Linked DNA regions of Pelodiscus sinensis. Each later gene encodes a partner of the first gene's protein in a complex. Links are inferred from orthologs where the notes say so. Each region holds a gene or a part of one and is shown on either strand. Other genes may lie near its edges.

Region 1 (7,105 bases):
AGGGAACTGGCAGCAGAGCTGGGGGGGGAGCAGGGATCGGGGGGAGCAGAGTGTGGGGTGCAAGGGTGGCATAGAGCCAGAGGGAGAGCAGGGGAACTGGGGTGCAGGGGCAGCGTGGTGAATGGATAGCGGGAGCCAGATGGGATGCGGGGTGGGTGCAATGAGCCGGGCGGTCGGCAGGGTGCAGTCTCTCGCCAGGAAGGGGCTGGGGCCGTGGCAGGACTGGAGCCGGTGGGGCACGCCACAGCCAGGAGAACACAGCCAGAGCCGAGCTGCCACGGCCCTTTAAAATGGGCGGGGCCACGTCACGCCAGCGTCCTGGCATCTGCCGGCGCTCCGCCTCCTCAAGCTGCAGCTGCACGCAGGCAGTCTGGCGCTGAGAAACGCCGCAGTTTCCCCTCCCCAGCAGCGCTCTGCTCCTCCGCCAGCTGGCGGATTGGATGGGGCCGTGCCGCTTGTAGTGCAAGGTTCGGCCAGCCCGTTACAATGGCCCACCGGGCCAGTCCGCCCCTGCACTCGCCAGCTGGCAAAATCTACTCGCCGTGGGCGAGCGGGTGAGTGTATTTGTCGAGCCCTGTGCATGACAGAATGATGTCATCAGCATATTTCTGTGAAAGCGGCTAGAGAGAGGGGGATTGGTGAGTGTAGCAAGCAGCAGCGGTAGCCCCCTAGTATCTTTAAAGCAATATAAGGCATTTTACTACATACAACACTTAGCAAGTAATGTATTGAAAGCTAAACAGTTGAGATTTATTTTTACTTTAATCTTTAACAAAATACGTAAAACCAATGCTATAAAGTACCCAGTCCTCTCCAGTGTCATCTTTTAATATATTTCTTCAAAATTCCATTTACATGAAGATGTGTTGTTTCCAACAATAGGCAGCTATGGTGATTTAATTATTCAAGAGCAAGTCTAATCTATAATCATACATCTATTGCATAAAATGGCTAGTCAAACACCCTATAATAAATACCACTGCAGGATCCAAGCATGTTATTGACATCACGGTGCAGAGGGGCTAGTCTTCGAAAGAGCATGTTTGATACATTAAAATGCTTCTTCCACTATGAGAAAAATAGTCCCAAATGTGCCAATGCTACAGTATTTCAACTCTGATATGCTTAATTGAAGCAATCTGTAACAAGGTTATCAATTTATAAAGCAGCATTTGCTATTTTCAAACTAATATGCAACATTGCCAAAAAATTACACATTAAACAGCACAAGACAATTAACCAATTTTTAAAAAATTATTGAATGAATAGCATTTCACCACCTACAGACCTAGAGGAGGTACAAAGTCAGTAAGTAATCAATAGCTTAAATTATCTAACTGCTTGCATTTTCCATTTTAAAGGAATGTTAGTAACCTGAATTTCTTATCTGGAGGAAAAAGGGCATCTACAGGTTGAAGCTCTCTGGTCCAGCACTCTCTTGTCTGGCAACATCCATGGCACATAACATCCCCAGGAGCACCAGCTTCACGGAGCTGTTTCCCCCCCCCCCCCCCCCCCCCGCATCTGTATCAGGCAGGATGAGGAGCAGCTTCTGTCTGCGGCCAGCCCAGGATTACCATAAACAGGGCCTGCTGCAGCCCAGCACTGCTGCATTTAATACAGAGGCAGCAGTGTGAAGTGGCAGGGGGCACAGAGCGCACTGCACTGGCTGCCAGATTCACCTGCCCCCAGGGATAATTAAATAATCATATAATTGATAAGATTTAGCACAGTTACATGATTATTAAATTAAATTAAATGAAACATCTAACATCCCTAGTCCACACTGAGGTTGAGCTGCACCTTTCCTGAGCCAGATAGTTGTCTAGGATGCATCATAACAAGCTACTCTCAGGCATGTTTAAGACTTTTGTTCAGCACTAGCCAGAAGCTGGCACCCTGCTTTTTCTCTTATGTACTCTAGCTGCATGAGCTCTGTGTAAGTGCTGCCAGGTCCCTCTCCGCCCACATCATTACCCCCTGGTCATCCCTTTCCCCGCTATTCGTGGAGCTACTTCCTCATTTTTACAGGACACTGTGTCTCACTCTTCCCCAGGCCGGGTGCGTTATGTGCACCCCTGACAATCTTCCGCCCTAGGCCCTGTTATTTGTTTTCTTTCTGGCTGGGACATGCTGCCTTTCCGTTTTATCCCATGACAACTTACTTTACTTAAGAGCCTTTGGTGAGGGGCCTTGTCAAAGACTTTTTGGAAATCTAAGCACACTATGTCCACTGGATCCCCCTCGTCCACGTTTGTTGACTCCCTCAAAGAGCGCTAGATCTGAAAAAGTGGGTTGTGCCCAGGAAAGCTCACGCTACCCTCTGCACGTTTTGCTCCGCTCCCGCGCTACTCGGCAATGTGTCGTTTTTAAAGTGTTTTCTAGCAGACGAGTAAGGCAAGATTTCCTTTTACACAAACCACCTTCTTCCCCCCAAGTCCGCCCAGGCAGCCGCCCCTCCCCGCCCCCCAGAGCCGCAGCTGCCGTGGACACGGAAAAGACCCCCCCCCCCGCAGCCTGGCCCCGCGGCGCTGCGCACTCAGCCAGGCTGCTCGCCCCGCACCGACGTGGGAAACACCGCGGAGGGGGCACGGGAGGCAGGACACCCGGCCCCGGCGCTAGCTCCGGGCGCTCCTCTCCCTCCCCGCCCCGGGGGATAAAAGCCCGTCCCCGCCAGAGCAGCATCGCAAAGCGGAGCAAAGGCCGCGCGGGCAGCCCCTTGGGATCCTCTCACCTTTGGTGCCAGGAGCCATGGTGCGCGCGCTGCCGCCCCGCTTCTCTGCCCGGCGCGCGCCCCCCCCCCCCTTAGCACCGACACAAACCGCGGCTCAAAATGGCGGCCCGTTTGAATTTGGCGCTAAGTGTCGGGAGAGGGCGGGGCCGCCTCCCTCTATGAAGTCATCACCGGGGCGGCCATGAGCGTTGGACGTCCTGACGCGCCTGTCAGACAGCGCCCCCGTCATGTGACCAAGAAAGGGCTCGGGTCGGTTTCTCACTTCCGGCCTGGGCGGAAGTGCGTCGTTCGATCTCGCTGTTGCTGTTGCCGTTGCCTGCTTGTCTCTGTGCGCGGCGGTCGCCATCATGAGTAAAAAGACGCAGGTCTCGTACGTGCGGCCGGCCGAGCCCGCCTTCCTGAGCCGCCTCAAGAGGGAGGTCGGGTATCGGGAGGGGCCCACGGTGGAGACCAAGGTAATGACACGCCCCTGCCCCTCGGGAGCCCGGCCACAGCCCGCCACGCTGCCGAGACCCGGGGATGGGCTCCCTCAAGCAGGTGAGCATGGCCGCTTCCCCCGCCTGCTGCTCCCAGCCCTGACCTCCCTCCCCCGCCTGTGCGGGAGCCTCGCCCTCTTTTCGAACGTCAGTGTCCCGCGTGGACACAAACGGCCCCCACCCACTCCGGGCAGCGGCCCAGGGAGAAGAAGAGTCTCCCCGGCCCGATCTCTGTGCTGCTGTACAACGAGGGCCCGTGGCATTCCACCGAAGGGAGCTCCTCAGGCCTAACGGAAGCCCCGGGGAAGCACCTGAGGTCAAGGCTTATTTCAGAGCCAAGGACTGTTATCGGGGCTCCCGTCTTACATCAACAGCCTGCTGCACTGAGCAACCGGCTTAAAAACAAGGGAAACTGGAAACCTTCAAGCCCTAAGATTGGGGTCGGCAACCTTTTCAAACCAAAGAGCCAAATTGCATCAAAATATGCAACTTAATATTACTGATAATTGACATGAATCATACAGACTGTATTTAATGGGACTTCTGCTACTGCATCTTTTTGCACATTTCTTTGACATTTACATCATAACTTGTCAAATCCAGCTTTTCAAATAGTGCACATTCAGGCTGTGTTCTCATAGAATCATAGAGCTGGAAGAGACCTCAGAAGGTCACAAAGTCCAGCCCCCTGGTCTAGGCAGGATCAATCCCAACTAAATCAACCCAGCCAGGGCTTTGTCAAGCTGAGACTTAAACACCTCTAGGGATGGAGACTGCACTACTTCCCTAGGTAACCCATTCCAGTGCTTCACCACCCTCCTAGTGAAATAGTTTTTCCTAATATCCAACCTGGACCTCTCCCACCACAACTTGAGACCATTGCTCCTTGTTCTGCCATCTGTCACTAATGAAAACAGCCTTGCTCCATCCTCTTTGGAACCTCCCTTCAGGAAGTTGAAGGCTGCTATCAAATCACCCCTCTCCCTCACTCTTCGCTTCTGCAGACTAAACAGACCCAACTCCCTCAGCCTTTCCTCATAAGTCATATGCTCCAGCCCCCTAATCATTTTGGTTGCCCTTCGCTGGACCCTCTCCAATGCGTCCACATCCTTTTTGTAGTGGGGGGGGCAGAACTGGAGATGTGGCCTCACCAGAGCCGAATAAAGGGGAATAATGACATCTCTGGATCTGCTGACAGTGCTCCTCTTAATGCAACCTAATATGCCATTAGCCTTCTTGGCTACAAGGGCACACTGTTGACTCATATCCAGCTTCTCATCCACTGTAACCCCCAGGTCCTTTTCTGCAGAGCTACTACTTAACTGGTTGGTCCCCAGCTTGTAACAATGCTTGGGATTCTCCCGTCCCAAGTGCAGGACTCTGCACTTGTCCTTGTTGAACCTCATTTGATTTCTTGTGGCCCAATCCTCCAATTTGTCTAAGTCACTCTGGACCCTATCTCTGCCCTCAAGCATATCTACCTTGCCCCCTAGCTTAGTGTCATCTGTAAACTTGCTAAAAGTGCAATCCATCCCCACATCCAGGTCATTAATAAAGATATTGAACAAAACTGTTCCTAGAACCGAACCTTGGGGCACTCTGCTAGAAACCGACCGCCATCATGACATTGAGCAATTGATCACTACCTGCTGGGCCCAGCCTTCTAGCCATCCTTCTATTCCTCTTACTGTCCATTTATCCAGTCCACATTCCCTTAACTTGCTGGCAAGAATATTGTGGGAGACTGTATCAAAAGGCTTCCTAAAGTCAAGGTATATCACATCCACTGACTTTCCCACGTCCACAGAGCCAGTTACCTCATCATAGAAGCTAATCAGATTGGTCAGGCACGACTTTCCCTTTGTGAATCCATGCTGACTATTCCTAATCACTTTCATCTCTTCCTTAAGGATCCCTTTCATGATTTTTCCAGGAACTGAGGTAAGACTGACTGGCCTATAGTTCCCTGGAAACTAAGCATTGAGTACTTCAGCTTTCCCCACATCCTCTGTCACTAGGTTACCTCCTTCATCCAGTAGGGGCCGCACATCCTCTCTGATCACCTTCTTCTTGTTAACATGCCTGTAGAAACCTTTCTTGTTATCCTTCACATCCTTAGCCAGTTGCAGTTCCATTTGCACTTTCGCCTTCCTTATAACCCCCTGGCATTCTAGAGCTATACATTAAAACCCCTCCTGGGTCATTTGTCCAAGTTTCCACTTTTTTGTAAGCTTTCTTTTTGTGCTTAAGTTATCCAAGGATTTCCTCTGTTAACCAATCTGGTCTCCTACCATGTTTGCCTCTCGCTACGCATTGGGATGGTTTCTTTTTGTGCCTTCAGTAAGGCTTCTTTAAAATACTGCCAGCTGTCCTGAACTCCTTTCCCTTTCATGTTAGCATCCCAGGGGATTCTGCCCATCAGGTCTCTGAGAGAGTCAAAAAACCTGCTTTTTTGAAGTCTGAGGTGTGCATTTTACTACTCTCTTTTTTCCTTTGATCAGGATCCTGAAATCTACCATCTCATGAATACTGTTTCCCAGGTTGTCGCCCACCTCTACTTCCCCTATTAGTTCCTCCCTGTTTGTGAGCAGAAGGTCAAGCTGCGCACGACCCCTGGTCGGCTCCTTCAGCACTTGTCAAGAAGTTCTTCCCAACATTCTCCAAAAACTTCCTGGATTGCCTGTGTACTGCCGTATTGGTTTCCCAACAGATGTCAGGGTGATTAAAGTCGCCCATGAGAACCAGGGCCTTTGATCTGGAAGCTTCTCTCAGTTGTCCGAAGAAAGCCTCATCTACCTCATCGGCCAGATTCGGTGGCCTGTAGCAGACACCAACCACAACATCACTGCTGTTGTTTGCTCCTTTAAACTTAACCCATAGACTCTCAACAGGTTTTTCTCCCTCTTTATACTGGAGTTCAGAGCAATCATAGTGCTCTCTTACATATAGTGCAACTCCTCCTTTTCTCCCCTGCCTGTTCTTCCTGAACAGTCTATACCCTTCCATGACAGCACTTCAGTCATGCGAGTCATCCCACCAAGTCTGTGTTATCCCAATTAAATCATATGTCTTGGACTGGGCCAGGGTCTTCAGTTCTTCCTGTTTGTTGCCCAGGCTTCTCGCATTAGTGTACAAACACCTCACTTAACCAGTTGATCGCCCTATCTTCTCCATTCGAATCAGGGGTACTCCTTTCTTGCTCGTTCCTCTCTGCATTTCTTCCCAGTATCCCACTTTGCCACTCCCCTCAGGGTTTTGGTCACCGTCCCCCGACGAACCTAGTTTAGAGCCCTCCTCACTAGGTTTGCAAGCCTGCCTGCGAAGATGCGCCTTCCTCTCTTCGTTAGGTGGATTCCATCTCTTCCTAACAATCCTTGTGCCTGGAACAGAGTCCCATTGTCGAAGAAACCAAAGCCCTCTCTGTGACACCACCTGCGCAACCAAGCATTTATGTCCTCAATTCGACGATCACTGCCCAGTCCTTTCCCTTCAACAGGGAGGATGGATGAGAACACCGCTTGCGTGCCGAATTCTTGGGTCCTTCTTCCCAGCGCTACATAATCCGCAGTAACCCGCTCAAGGTCATTCTTGGCCGTATCGTTAGTTCCCACGTGGAGAAGCAGGAAGGGGTAGCCATCCGAAGGTTTGATCAGTTTGGTAAGCCTCTCAGTCACATCCTGAATGCAAGCTCCTGGTAAGCAGCACACCTCTCAAGATTCCAGGTCCGGACGGCAGATGGATGGCTCAATCCCTCTTAGGAGGGAGTCCCCAACAACTACCATCCGTTGTTTTCTTTTGGGGGCGGTGGCCGTGGAACCCCCATCCCCATGGACTACGCATTCCATGCCTTCTAGTAGATGGTGTTCCTTTCCGGTTTCTTCCTTGTGAGGTCCCT
Region 2 (6,891 bases), on another chromosome or scaffold:
TGGAGACCAAACACAGAGACACTAGACAAATCTGTGTCACTGCCCATGATGGTTTAAAACTCCCTAAACTGGTGGCAAAATCCAGCAAATGTTTGCCAACTTTTTATAAACTTTTCTGTTGTTACTTCTCACCACTAACATCACTTACCAGTGGGGTGTACATGTAAATGACCTTACGACACATGGCAAATGGTAATTCACAGTTATCCCTCCAAATCAACTTGAGATCAGGGTGGTCAAGAATACCTGGGTCCATTTTCTCTCACTGGTCAAAGGAACACACACACGTGTCCTACTGACAACATAACTTCTATGTAAATCAAAGAGGAAAAAACAAGAACAAATCATGTCAAACCAATCTGATAGCTTTCTTTGATAGGATAACGAATCTTGTGGATAAGGGAGAAGCAGTGGATGTGGTATACCTAGACTTTAGTAAGGCATTTGATATGGTCTCACATGATATTCTTATCAAACTAGGCAAATGCAACTTAGATGAGGCTACTATAAGGTGGGTGCATAACTGGCTGGATAACCATACTCAGAGGGTGCGTCTTGACTGGCAAGATTTTGTGCAAACGCATTCGCTTTTGTGCAAAAACTTGCCACCTGTCTACACTGGCCGCGAGAATTTGCACAAGAGCACTGAGGTTCTAATGTTAGAATTCAGTGCTTCTGGCACAAATACTTTGACGCTCCCGCTCAGGGATAAGCCCTCTTGTGCAAGAATAATTGCGCAAGAGGGCCAGTGTAGACAGGCATCTTCATTTTTTGCGCAAGAAAGCCCGATGGCTAAAATGGCCACCGGAGCATTCTTGCACAAAAGCGCGTCTATACTGGGCACGGACGCTTTTGCGCAAAAGCACTTTTTGCACAAAAGCATCCGTGCCAACCTAAATGCTCTTTTGTGGAAACACTTTTAACGGAAAAACTTTTCCGTTAAAAGTATTTCCGCAAAATCATGTCAGTCTAGACGCAGCCAGAGAGTAGTTATTAATGGTTCACAATCCTGCTGGAAAGGTATAACAAGTGGGGTTACGCAGGGGTCTGTTTTGGGACCGGCTCTCTTCAATATCTTCATCAATGATTTAGATATTGTCATAAAAAGTACGCTTATTAAGTTTGCAGATGATACCAACCTGTGAGGGGTTGCGACTAATCTGGAGGATAGAGTTATAATTCAAAATGATCTGGACAAATTGGAGAAATGGTCTGAGGTAAACAGGATGAAGTTTAATAAAGACAAATGCAAAGTGCTCCACTTAGGAAGGAACAATCAGTTTCACACATACAGAATGGGAAGCGACTGTCCAGAAAGGAGTACTGCAGAAAGGGATCTAGGGGTTATAGTGGACCCACAAGCTGAATATGAGTCAGCAGTGTGATGCTGTTGCAAAAAAAGCAAACATGATTCTGGGATGCATTAACAGGTGTGTTGTGAGCAAGACACGAGAAGTCATTCTTTCACTCCACTCTGCACTAGTTAGGCTTCAGTTGGAGTACTGTGTCCAGTTCTGGGCACCGCATTTCAAGAAAGATATGGAGAAATTGGAGAGGGTCCAGGGAAGAGCAACAAGAATCATTAAAGGTCTAGTGAACATGACCTGTGAAGGAAGGCTGAAAAATTTGGATTTGTTTAGTTTAGAAAAGAGAAGATTGAGGGGGGAATATGATAGCAGATTTCAGGTATCTAAAAGGGTGTCATAAGGAGGAAGGAGAAAACTTGTTCATCTTGGCCTCTGAGGATAAAACAAGAAACAATGGGCTTAAACTGCAGCAAGGGAAGTTTAGCTTGGACATTAGGAAAAAGTTCCTAACTGTCAGGGTGGTCAAACACTGGAATAAATTGCCCAGGGAGGTTGTGGAATCTCCATCTCTGGAGATATTTAAGAGTAGGTTAGATAAATGTCTATCAGGGATGGTCTTCTAGACAGTACTTGGTCCTGCCATGAGGGCAGGGGACTGGACTCGATGACCCCTCAAGGTCCTTTCCAGTCCTAGTATTCTATGATTCTATGATTCTTTGTTGCTTTTCTGTGAGCCTCCATTTCTCAGATAGGGTGAAAGAGTGTCTAAAAGATGTCCCCACTTCAGATGCAGCCCATACAGTGCTAACCTGGCACATGGCCCCAGTCTTCCAGCCAGAGGCATGAGCGATGCCTATAGGTGGGTGTAGTTGTCTCTAGCACACTATGTCCAAAGTCTTAGGCTGTCTACACACTGGGCCACTTATTCCGGAAAAGCAGCCGCTTTTCTGGAATAACTTGAAAGCTGTCTACACTGGCCGCTTGCTTTTCCGGAAAAGCAATGACGATCTACTGTAAAATTGTCAGTGATTTTCTGGAAAAACTATGCTGCTCCCGTTCGGGCAAAAGTCCTTTTCCAGAAAAACTATTCCGGAAAAGGGCCAATGTAGACAGCACAGTAGTCTTTTCCGCAAAAAAGCCCAGATTGCGAAAATGACGATCGGGGCTTTTTTCCGGAAAAGCGCGTCTACATTTGCCACGGACGCTTTTCCGGAAAAAGTGCTTTTCCGGAAAAGCATCCTGCCAATGTAGACGCTCTTTTCCCGGAAATACTTATAACGGAAAACTGTTCCGTTTTAAGCATTTCCGGAAAAGGGTGCCAATGTAGACACAGCCTTATAGACAAGACCCAAATTTTTCAGCAAGGTTCTTGGGTTTGCAGCAGGGCAGTGCTGGCAGGCAGACACAAGCAGTGTCTGAGACACTGGCATTGGATAAGCCAGTAATGCATTATGTCAGGAAATGTTGGGACAATGTCCTTAGCTTGGGGCAGGGGAGGTGGCCTGCAGGCAAGAAAATGAAAACACATTTCTCTCAAAAAGGAAACTCCAAAATTTTTCATTTTGGGAAGATCGTACTGTTCCAGTTACATAAGAACATAAGAACGGCCGTACTGGGTCAGACCAAAGGTCCTTCTAGCCCAGTATCCTGTCTGCTGACAGTGGCCAGCACCACGTGCCCCAGAGAGGGTGGACCGAAGACACGATCAAGCGATTTGTCTTCTGCCATCTCTCTCCAGCCTCTGACAAACAGAGGCCAAGGACACCATTTTATCCCCTGGCTAATAGCCCTTTATGGACCTAACCTCCATGAAATTATCTAGCTTCTCTTTAAACTCTGTTATAGTCCTAGCCTTCACAGCCTCCTCTGGCAAGGAGTTCCACAGGTTGACTACACGCTGTGTAAAGAAGAACTTTCTTTTATCAGTTCAACTCCCTACCACCACGCTCCCTCCAAAAACCACATGGAGTAGCTGGCTGCCCCCAACTTATTCCTCTGGAAACCCAGGCTCTCCAGCAGCCTGACAGGTGAGCTGACAGAAAACCAACCAGGTTCCCCTAGAAACCTACCTGCCATTCATAGGGTGGATGAATTTCCTGTCCTGTTAGGGGGAGTATTATGGGATTTCACCCTGGGAGGAGTGAAGGCACAACACTTCTCACTTGCAAGAGTGCACTCTCCAGAGACTGAGGAGTCAGGGGTGCAGCTCACCACGGCATCGGACAAAACTGCTGGTCTTAAAAAGTTTAAGAAACACGGACCTAGCGGCTACCAGAGCCTTCTGTTGGCAGTAAGTGGAGACATTCAGTGCTAAGCTGCAAATGACAAAATGATTCCTTAGGGCAGTGGGTCTCAAGGTGTGGTCTGCTAACCCATCTTGCAGGGGGCCGTGGGGCTCACCTCCGCAGTGGGGAGCCGTCACCAGCGCTCCACCCCCCGCCGCCCAGGTTGGAGTGCGGGGGAGGAGTCTTGCCCCGCTGCTCCCATTGGCCGGGAATTAGGTTTTTCGTGGGGTACCCAAGGCAGCTCAGCCAGCTTCAAAGGGGTCGCAGGCGGGAAAGTGAGGCAGCGCACTTCGTGCGGGGAGGGCGTGCGTTACGCAGAGCTGCCGTTGTGGCAGTGTGACGAGCCGGCGCATTGTCATCACCATATGCAGGTCTAGGCTGCCCCTCAGGCGGGTGGCGGTCGGGCGCTGACTCATGCTCCGCGGCTAGGGGGAGGGGAGCTCGGATAACGTGCGCCGCCTCCTAGTGGGGGCGGGGCGTGGTACTAGCCGCGCGCCGTGACAGGTCAGACCGGACACCGTGAGCGTCCCTGATTGCCCAGCGAGAGACAGTCACGTGTCCGCGCCGGCGCGCGAGAGTGGCAGTTGCGGTCTGCGCTGGGAGCGGCGGGAAGATGGCGGCCCCCGCCGGCTGGGCCTCGCTCTGTGAGAAGTTCCGCAGCTCGCTGAGCCTCTCCAGCGTGGAGTCCAAGAAGGACCCGGAGAACGAGCCCTATCGCTCCAAGTACGCCGCCCGGGAGCTGCTGGAGGAGATCCGGCAGCTGCTGGGCTCGGAGGAGTCGGCCGAGGGCGCCCGTGCGGGAGAGGCGGCGGCGCTGCGGGCCATGCGCCGGGCGGTGGTGGAGTACGAGCTGGGGGTGAACCACACCGAGACCGAGGAGCTCTCTGCGGGCGAGGAGCACCTGCTGAAGTGCACTCGGCTGCTGGAGCGCCACCGCCTCTCCCGGGACTGCGTCTCCCTCTACATCCAGGCCCAGGTAGGGAGCGGCTGCCACCCTGGAACCCGCCTGATTGACGAGCTGCTGCCACAGCGGGAGGGGAGGGCGCCCTGAGGATGTGATTTTCTCTCTTGAGCCTAATGGTGATAGAGATGTAGCCGTGTTAGTGTGATGTAGCTGAAACAAAATACAGGACTATGTAGCACTTCAAAGACTAACAAGGGGTGTGTCTAGACTACATGCCTCCTTCGACGGAGGCATGTAGATTAGCCAGATCGGAAGAGGGAAATGAAGCCGCGATTAAAATAATCGCGGCTTCATTTAAATTTAAATGGCTGCCCCGATCTGCCGATCAGCTGTTTGTCGGCAGATCGGGGGAGTCTGGACGCGATGCCCCGACAAAGAAGCCTTTCTTCATCGACACAGGTAAGCCTGGTTTCACGAGGCTTACCTGTGTCGATGAAGAAAGGCTTCTTTGTCGGGGCATCGCGTCCAGACTCCCCCGATCTGCCGACAAACAGCTGATCGGCAGATCGGGGCAGCCATTTAAATTTAAATGAAGCCGCGATTATTTTAATCGCGGCTTCATTTCCCTCTTCCGATCTGGCTAATCTACATGCCTCCGTCGAAGGAGGCATGTAGTCTAGACACACCCAAGATGGTTTATTCGATGATGAGCTTTTGTGGGCCAGACGAAAGCTCATCATCTAATAAACCATTTTGTTAGTCTTTAAAGTGCTACATAGTCCTGTATTTTGTTTGAGCCTAATGTTGGCTTATCTCCAGATGGGGGAATCTCCAGTCACTCTAGGACAGGGTAATATTTGGAATCGGTTAGGCCCGATCCCCATTTGCAGACTTGGGGTGTTCCTGACCTTTGGCAGGATAACAACATAATCCTAGCCAGGCCGTGGCACATCTTACTTGTGATTGGTAAGGTGATGTAAGTGGGAATATGAGTTATTGAAATACTGGAATCTTAAAAGTTTCAGAGGAGGAGCGGAGTTAGTCTGTAACAGGAAAAATTTAAACAACAAATAGACTAGTAATACCTTAGGATATTTCTACACTTGCTCCCTAGTCCGAACTAGGGATGCAAATGTAGCATACCAAAGTTAATAATGAAGTGCGGGATTTAAATATCCTGCGCTTGATTGGCATATTCGCGTTCGGTCACCAATTTAAAAATCCACTAGTCCAAATTAACTCGCCGCGTGTAGATGCGGTATTCCGAAGGAAACCCTTTCCCTCAGATTGCACAAGGAGTAACAGTTAATCTGAAAGAAGGGGTTTCCTTCAGAATACCGCATCTACACATGGTGAGTTAATTCGGACTAGTGGATTTTTAAAATGGCTACCGGACGCGAATATGATAATCCCGTGCTTCATTAGCAACTTTGGTATGCTACATTTGCATCCCTAGTTCGGACTAGGGAGCAAGTGTAGACATATCCTTAAAGATTAACAAAACATGTAGATGGTATGAGCTTTTGTGGGGGCAACCCACTTGGTTGAACATGCAATGTACTGCATTCTGCCATACCGAGTGGAAATATATCAACTACACAAAAACTCTCACAGATCCAAACAGACATCATCTTTCTTTCCAAGTGCAAACAGATGAACATCGTACCTAAGGGACTGAGGGTGAAAAACCCACTGCAATCTACATATCCCACAGACTACAGTTAGCGATTATGCCACACTCTTGCAAAGAAATTCAGGAACCACCTTATCAGCATTTTATTCAACAGACAGAAGAAAATCAAGGAGGAGCTCTCAACATTAGAAACTATCCTAGAAAACCAAGCTTCCATACAGACTTCATGTTTTCCAGACTTTACTAAAATTCAGTAAACCACGTACAAGGATCACTTCATCTCCCTTTGGAATAAAAAGGACAATAAACTATCCAAACTCCTACATGCTTCAAGATCTCTCATTCCAGATACTTTCAGTTCACCTAGCAATATTGTCAACGTATCCAACCTCTCTCTTAGGACAGATTCCTCCACGGGGCTATCTTGAGGACTCTCTTTCTGCCCCATCACCCCTACAAATATAATTCAGTTCTGTGGAGATCAGGAAGTCTATTTTCACTGCCTCCACCTAAAGGAATATTTCCAACACACTGATGTACAATACACTGACCTTTCTGCTCTCCCCTGCCAATCCTACAAGAGGAAGGCTTCTGTGTGGACCCCTACTAACGGTTGTAATGAGAGTCTTGACTTCTACAACAACTGCTTCCACAAACGTGCTCAAACTGCTGACACATGCTGTTGTTTGCTGACTATAACATACAGCCTCAGTCATGCAGAACACAATGCTATACGCAGCCTCAAACAATTCTAACATCATA

What was found.
Region 2: the proteins of KIF15 (region 1) and KIFBP are in contact, whole or in part, in a cryo-EM structure (PDB 6ZPH), measured with the Homo sapiens proteins. The link is inferred for Pelodiscus sinensis from reciprocal best matches to the Homo sapiens genes KIF15 and KIFBP. Residues at the interface, in NP_064627.1 of Homo sapiens: Leu187, Glu189, Ile191, Lys192, Lys193, Arg231, Glu232, Arg235, Arg271, Met280, Arg281, Leu282, Lys283, Glu284, Ala285, Gly286, Asn287, Asn289, Arg290, Leu292, Ser293, Gly296, Gln297, Ile299, Ala301, Val303, Asp304, Val305, Gly306, His312; in NP_056449.1 of Homo sapiens: Lys26, Tyr33, Lys36, Ile106, Glu109, Ile147, Ser150, Glu151, Glu153, Thr208, His209, Tyr212, Tyr213, Gln216, Gln219, His220, Phe224, Gln238, Glu248, Trp249, Ile251, Asn252, Thr255, Gln258, Phe259, Asn262, Tyr415, Val416, Thr417, Glu421.

The regions. Positions count from the first base shown.
Region 1 is NC_134712.1:177,955,137-177,962,241, reverse strand, and holds the start of KIF15 (kinesin-like protein KIF15), read right to left. Parts: upstream 3,013-7,105; 5' UTR 2,754-3,012; coding exon 2,735-2,753; intron 1-2,734. Other genes in the region: uncharacterized protein KIAA1143 homolog, read left to right, coding at 3,082-3,189. UniProt on the Homo sapiens protein: Plus-end directed kinesin-like motor enzyme involved in mitotic spindle assembly.
Region 2 is NC_134718.1:28,668,226-28,675,116, forward strand, and holds the start of KIFBP (KIF-binding protein), read left to right. Parts: upstream 1-3,891; 5' UTR 3,892-4,205; coding exon 4,206-4,568; intron 4,569-6,891. UniProt on the Homo sapiens protein: Activator of KIF1B plus-end-directed microtubule motor activity. Required for organization of axonal microtubules, and axonal outgrowth and maintenance during peripheral and central nervous system development.